2 linked regions of the Sus scrofa genome follow. The protein of the gene in region 1 interacts with the protein of each later gene in a pairwise test. Links are inferred from orthologs where the notes say so. Each region holds a gene or a part of one and is shown in the gene's direction. Other genes may lie near its edges.

The links. The genes of interacting proteins can lie anywhere in the genome.
Region 2: the proteins of WDR4 (region 1) and FAM118A interact in binary tests that used the Homo sapiens proteins (3 or more experiments, as listed by UniProt). The two-hybrid records come from large-scale screens. The link is inferred for Sus scrofa from reciprocal best matches to the Homo sapiens genes WDR4 and FAM118A.

What each region holds. Positions count from the first base shown.
Region 1 is NC_010455.5:206,084,652-206,088,222, reverse strand, and holds part of WDR4 (tRNA (guanine-N(7)-)-methyltransferase non-catalytic subunit WDR4), read left to right. Parts: intron 1-2,852; coding exon 2,853-3,009; intron 3,010-3,571. UniProt on the Homo sapiens protein: Non-catalytic component of the METTL1-WDR4 methyltransferase complex required for the formation of N(7)-methylguanine in a subset of RNA species, such as tRNAs, mRNAs and microRNAs (miRNAs).
Region 2 is NC_010447.5:4,082,035-4,085,605, reverse strand, and holds part of FAM118A (protein FAM118A), read left to right. Parts: intron 1-513; coding exon 514-799; intron 800-2,474; coding exon 2,475-2,507; intron 2,508-3,571.

The sequences.
Region 1 (3,571 bases):
CGAGAATGAAAATTCTCTCCCTTTAAGTTTTTGGTTCACGTAAAATTTAGAAGCCTCAGGGAAGTACAGAGTGGGAACAAAAATGAACCATCGACCTTTTTTTTTTTTTTTTTTGCTTTTTAGAGCTACACTTGCAGCATATGGAGGTTCCCAGGCTGGGGTAGAATCAGAGCTGTAGCCTCCGGCCTCCGCCAGAGCCACAGCAACAAGGGATGCAAGCTGCATCTGCGACCTACACCACAGCTCACAGCAACACCAGATCCTTAACCCACTGAGCAAGGCCAGGGATCGAACCCGAAACCTCATGGTTCCTAATTGGGTTTGTTTCCGCGGCGCCACGACGGGAACTCCTAAGTTTTCGTTTATACATGTTCTGTGTCTTGTGATGTAATAGAGTCCTCTTAAGTCTTTCTTATTTGGTCTCCAACTATGTTGCAGGAACGAGTAGTTGCTTCTCCAGGTTGTCACGGATAGAGCATAAAGGTAGTGAGGCTTCGAGGTCAGTTGAAACAGGCATGTGTTTGATGTGGTCATTTCTGCTGTATACGCCGGGTTTTTAAGTTGGCATCAACGCAATAACGTTGTGTAGATGCCTGCCTTAGGTGGTACGGGAGTGGGAGAAGTGACTGCTGACCTTGAGGTGCCAGGGCCCTGCCTGCCCTGGTGCAGGGCAGCCTCCCGAAGGTGATGGTGATGGCGGGGCCAGGGCCAGCCTCAGGTGGCCGCTTCCCCCCCAACCCCCAGCCTTGTCCTGTAGGTTCCCTGAGCTCGCTTACCTTCTCTGATTGAGCTTCTGGGGGAGCACAGAGGGAGGTGGGTGCGGCTTGTGCTTCCCTTGCCTCACCCCGCTGGGCTGGCAGACGTCACTCTGGCCGGCACAGCACTCGTCGGACCTGGCAGCCGTCTGCTCTGGGGACACAGGCCCCCCTTCGGGTCAATAGGCCCTGACCCTTGGTGCCGCTGATGTCTAGTGCGTTCATACTCGCCCGGCCTCGCTTCCAGCTCCGAGCTTGCCCCAGCGGGCACTTCCTCTGTCTCTGGCAGAGGGGACGGGCCACACCACCCTGGGGGCCCCGGGGGGACCTGGGCCAGGGATCAGGATGCCGTGGAGGCAGGGAAGGTGCTGAGACCCCAGGCCCTGCGGAGGCTGAAGGCGGGTGCCTGGCCTCCTTTCGCGGTCACCATATGGCCCGCCTACCGCTGATGACCTGCCCCCCACCTGCCACCCGGTGCCCTCCGACCGAGACCTGCTCCCTGCAGCAGAGCCATGTGCTTCAGTTGTTGCCAGGATGGATTCAGCCTGAGCAGCTGAAAGCCCTCAGCTGGCAGAGCACTGAGGGGCAGGATCCGGAGTGCCACATCTGTGCCCAGCTGGTGGGAGGGGATGCAGTGGGAGGTGGGCCTAGTTCCCTGGAATCCAAGCCCCTTACTCCCTCAGGAAGGCCCGAGACCTGTGCCACAAGGCTGGGGCCCCGCCTCCAGAGGCCCTGGCCCCGCCCCCGGAAGGCTAAGGCTGTGGCTGTGCTCCTGGCAGCTGCCTGATTTGCCCTTTAGGACAGGCAGCTGCTTTGCTGGTGCAGGACTTTGTTTAAATTACCGGCACTGGGAGAATTCGGATTAATCACGCCCTGGAGCGTGTCTTTGTTTCCCCCTATTTATCACCTTTCTCCTCCTGCTGAGGCTGCCCCTGCCCTGGAAGCACTCCGGCTGCGCCTGGGAGCCCAGCGCCTGCAGCCCGGTGTGGCCCCACTTGCTTGCTTCTCTGTGCTCCTGTCCCTCCTGCGGGGAGGGCAGGGTCCCTTGGCCCTTGTGCTGGGGAGGCGATTCCTTGAAGCTTCATCAGGCCAACATCTGGAGTCCGGCTGCCATGAGCCGGGCACCTTCTGCAGGGTGTTAGCTCTCTACGGGGACAGTGGGTCCCCGTCCAGCCCTCGGGTGATGAGCAAGCTGGGACTGGCTTTGTGACGAGGCCATGTGCGGATGAACGTAAGGCCTCGTCTGTAAAGCAGCGTCAGGGCTAGTGTCCAACGTAAAATAGACCTACAGACACCTGCTCGTGGAGAGGCTGGTAGGAATAGTGAGAGACGGAGTCAGGAGGAACTAGCCTAGCCCCGGACCCTGGGGTGCGCAGGCGGGCTGTGGGGCCCGTGTCCCTGTGTGTCATTTTGTCCCTGACCAGCTCATCATTGAACCAGCTCTCAGCTGTGACAGATGCTGTGGCTCTAGATCAGGGATCTGAGTTGGTGCCGTGCCCTTGGGGCTGCCCAGCGGAGGGTGTGGTGCCGTCTCGCTGCCCGTGGCATGTCCGCCTGGCACCGGGCATCATGGGCTCTCGTTTTCATGTGTCTCGCATGAGTGGCATGGGTGGGCTCCTGCTCCAGGTGGCCAGGCCAGCAGTGGGTGGGCGCAGGCCTTGGGGTCGGAGTGTGGGCCTGGGTGGGAAGCGCACCACCCAGGAGGGTCCGGCGCGGTTTTGATTGCGTCCGGGAGGTGCCCGGCCAGTTGCCCCAGAGGCCACAGTTTGGTGTTTAGGGAGCTGGCCGTGGTCTCCTTTCAGAAGCGCCCAGGCATCCTGCTACGGCAGGCTGCAAGCACAGCGCAGTCCAGAGGCTTCTGTGTTGGAGGCTTAGCTCCCCACCACCCAGATCCTGCCATGAGCACGTTTTTAGAAGGAGAAAATTATAACGTAACCTCTGTCCGGGCATTGGCTGTTTCCATGCTCACAATTGCCTTTTGGGGGGCACCATCTTCGGTGACCGCCACAGGGCGGGCAGCCGACAGGTGGCTTGCAGGTCAGCGGGCGGCCCGGCCCTGAGCCCCGTCTGCCGACCGTGGTGTCTCTGGCCTTCCAGGACCGTGGTGAGGAGGTGCACGGCCCTGACCTTCACGGCCTCCGAGGAGAAGGTCTTGGTGGCGGACAAGTCTGGGGATGTCTATTCCTTCTCGGTGCCGGAGCCGCACGGGGGCGGCAAGCTTGAACTCGGACACCTGTCGATGCTGCTGGACGTGGTACGTGGCTGACGTGCCGCCCTGGTTCTGCTGTGATGCGGCTCAGGTGGGACGAGGAGGGCGAGGCGGGCCTGTGTGCCAGGCGGGCGGGTTTGGGTTCTGCTGTGGCAGGACAGCCCGGCAGAGCTGTGGGCACGGGCCAGAGGGCGGGACTCTGGAGGCGAAGCTGCCAACAGGGTGGAAGAAGACGGGTCACTTGGGCTGGCTGGTCAACACGGGAGGGACGCCCAGGCTGGGGAGGGGAGGTGGCGGGCCGTCCTCCCAGCCCCCTCGCTGGGTGCCAGCCCTGCCTAGAGGCCCGGGCTGCAGCCAGGAGGTGGGCCCTGCGGGGACATGCAGGAGTTAGGGGTGGTGAAGGGCAGGTCACCAGGACCTGGGGACATGGGTAAGAAGGAGTGGAAGGTGACCTGGGTGTGTGGCCGGTGGGGCGGAGGGGTGGAGTGGCCGCTGTGTCCGGCGTCCGGAGGCAGCGGTGGCCTCCGGGGCACCTGGCCGGGGCCGAGGCCGGGGTGGAGGTGGGGGGTGGGAGCAGGGGAGCCGGCCGTCCTGACGGCAGGTCTGC
Region 2 (3,571 bases), on another chromosome or scaffold:
GGCTGCACCCGCCACATAATGGAGGTTCCCAGGCTAGGGGGCTGAATCAGAGCTACAGCTGCCGGTCTACACCACAGCCACAGCAACACCAGCTCTGAGCCATGTCTGCGACGTACACCACAGCTCACGGCAAGGCCGGACCCTTCACCCACTGAGCGAGGCCAGGGATCGAACCTGCATCCTCATGGATACTGGTCGGGTTCGTCACCGCTGAGCCACGGCGGGAACTCCCACTCCCTTTCTTCTTCTTTGTTCCTCGTGTGGCTCCTGGGGGAGCCCCGTCAGGGAGCAGGGATTTAAAAGGGCCATCATGTAGGTGGCTCATCCCTGGTGGCTCAGTGGGTGAAGGATCCGGCGTTGTCCCTGCGGTGGTGCAGGTTGGGTCCCCGGCCTGGGAACTTCCACAAGCGGCCAGAAAGAAAAAAATGAAAGCACAAAGATGTAACTTTGGGGTCAGTCATGGGACCGGACCCCCTTTCAGATGAGCAGCTCAGCGTCTCGGTTCCCTCCCAGGAAGTTCTCCAGAACCTGTACCGCACCAAGTCGTTCCTGTTTGTGGGCTGCGGAGAGACGCTGCGGGATCAGATCTTCCAAGCCCTCTTCCTCTACTCGGTGCCCAACAGGGTGGATCTGGAGCACTACATGGTCGTGCTCAAGGAGAGCGAGGACCACTTCTTTAAGCACCAGGCAGACATGCTGCTGCACGGGATCAAAGTGGTGTCCTACGGGGACTGCTTCGACTATTTCCCGGCGTACGTGCAGGACCTCGCCTCGCAGATCTGCCAGCAGCCAAGCCCAGGTACGGGAATTTGCCTTGCTTCCGTATACAAAACCGCGAGGATTCTTCCCGTTTCTCCCCTTTTGGTAGGTATGATTGACATGCCGTAAAATAAAACCAAGAGGGAGTTTTTCATACTCTTGGATCCACTGGTCTTCCAGTTATTTTTTAGCGTCTCTGTGCACTTTACAGAGAGAAGGTTGGGGTAATTGGAACTTGACACGTACAGCCGTGCTTGTCCACGTCTGCCCGTCTCAGGGGAGAGGCCGTGCTTCCAACTCCCTTAACCGAGACAGCCAGCTCCCAGCCGGCTCCTTCAGCCGTGACGCCGAAAACCTGAACCGCAGGTTTCTCACTGCTTTACCCTGTCCGTGCCTTTTAAAGTTACAACTGCAGAGGCGCAGGATGACTGTAGGAAGAGCTGCCTTTTTCCCCTAGCGTCTTCTCCCTGTGGTGCCAAGTGCAGCACCCTTAACCCTGCCCCGGCCCTCACTTCTCCGGCGGGGGGGGCGGGGGGGGGTGACCACCTGCCAGGAATGACCACGACAAGGGGCCACCTCCCACCGGGCAGGTCATGGCTTTGCCTTCAGTGTCAGGGAGCACGAAGAACGGCAGCCGGGAAAGGTCCGCTTTGGCTCTCCTGTCACCGTGACAGGAGACCAGACAGTCACCCTGGCGGTGGGTGGGTCAGCCGCACAGATGGCTGGGGGTGCTGGCAATGGCTTTGAAGACCCGAGGACGCGACGGTCAGGGGTGGCTGACTGCACGTGTGATCCAGCAGCTTGGTTCTTGCCACTAGTCCTTCCTAAAATCACTAGTCATGAGCAAGGTGGACCATTTTAGTTGCATTTCCATTGATAAGAGTGTAACTAGGGTGGTAGTTTTACAAAGAAAAAGAGAGGGGAACGTTGTGTGTAACACACTGCTATGAATTTACATTCTTGAGTGTCTTTCATTTCTATGTATTTTTATATACAACTTTATTTACCTGTTTCGGTTTTGAGGGCCTCATCTGTGGCATATGCAGGTTCCCAGGCTAGAGGCTGAATTGGAGACGTGGCTGCCGGCCTACGCCACAGACACAGCCACGCGGGATCCCAGCTGCATCTACACCACAGCCATGGCAACACCAGATCCTTAACTCCCTGAGAGAGGCCAGGGATCCTCAGGAATCCTAGTCAGGAAGCTGCTGAGCCCCAGTGGGAACTCCGTATAGCATTTTGAGTCACAGTATCCACTGCTACTAAGTAGGTGATTTTCAAGCTGCTGAGACAAGCTCAGAGAGGTGCCTTGCTCTCCCAGTTGGTGCCCAGATACTGTGGAGGTGAGGTTGGGGTCCTGGACCGAGAGCAGAGTCAAATGTGCCACTCAGTGTGGAGGGGGCAGCCTCCCCCCCCACTGCGGGCTTAACCTGGCCTCGGAGCGCCGCTCATGGCAGGGCTTCCTGTCCCCACGGACGCCCCCTTTGCTGGACCCTGGCAGCTGAGTGGATGGACAGGCTGCCAGGGGACTTGCACTCTGTGGCCGTGGGCTTACGCTCTTGAGGCGCTTTTGTTTGGAGAGGGTGGCAGGGATGGTGACACCCCCTCCCCCGAGCCGTTGGCGAGGAGATGGAGGCTGTGGCGGGAGCTGGGCTGCCTGCGGAGGCAGCGCTGTGAGGTCTCGGCTGTGCTGATGCCTTTCCTTTCTTCTCCAGATGCTGAGCGAGTGGACAGCACCACGTCCTTGGGTAAAGCAGCTCTGGATTTTCGCAGCCTGTCCTCTGCCTGCACAGGGTCCCGCTGTCTCCCTGCCGCTCCTTCCTTAACTGTCACAGGCATCCCCCCCGGAACACATAGCTTAAGTTGTGCTGAGATGACACATAGCAGCGCCTTCATGAAGGGATGGCAGATGCAGCCCATCCCCTGGGGAGCACAGCTTCGTCAAACACGGGCCCCTCCCGCTGCCTGAGAATAGCTTCCTGTCCTTGAACCAGAGTCTGTATCGGACCAGTTGGCCTCAGATGTAGTAATTTTTAACCCATCCCCTTCAGAGGTTTTAATTGTAGGTTCTAACTATTTATGTGCATTTTTCTATTTTTATTACTTGAAATGTGTGTCCTCTGGGTTCAACCCTGCCCATTTATGACTTGACGAGGTGCCAGTGCCTCCTGGCATCTAATCCTACCCATGGGTGAACTTGGTGCCAGGTTTTTTTTTTTTTTTTTAGGGTCACACCTGTGGCATGTGGAGGTTCCCAGGCTAGGGGTCGAGTTGGAGCTGCAGCTGCCGGCCTGCACCACAGCCACAGCCACGCTGGATCCTAGCCGAGCCCACAACCTACACCACAGCTCACGGCAACGCCGGATCCTTAACCCACTGGGCAGGGCCAGGATTGAACTCTCATCCTCAGGGTTCCTAGTTGGATTCGTTTCTGCTGAGTCACGACGGGAACTGCAGGTGGCTGGTGCTCCCACGTGGCTGTCACTGGGCTGGAAGGGGCTCTTTTGTCAGCGAGTGGCTCCTTTGCTGGCCTGTCTCGGCGGAGCCCCAGGTGGCGTCTTGGTAGTGGGGGTGGCGGTGGGAGAACAGTTGCCTCCGGCTTTCCGCTTCTAGCTTATTTCCACGTGGAAGAGCGCAGTTATCATTGGTTCCTCTCACTCCCAGAGTGGCCGAGCTTTTGGAAAACGCCTTAGCTCGATAGACAGCTGCAGCACCTGGCAGCGATTGCTCGGTTGGTGCCCCAGCTAAATCAGATTTGTGAGCTGGTCCTGGAGGGTGGATTCTAGAATAGCTTAAGTTTTTTTCAAATTAC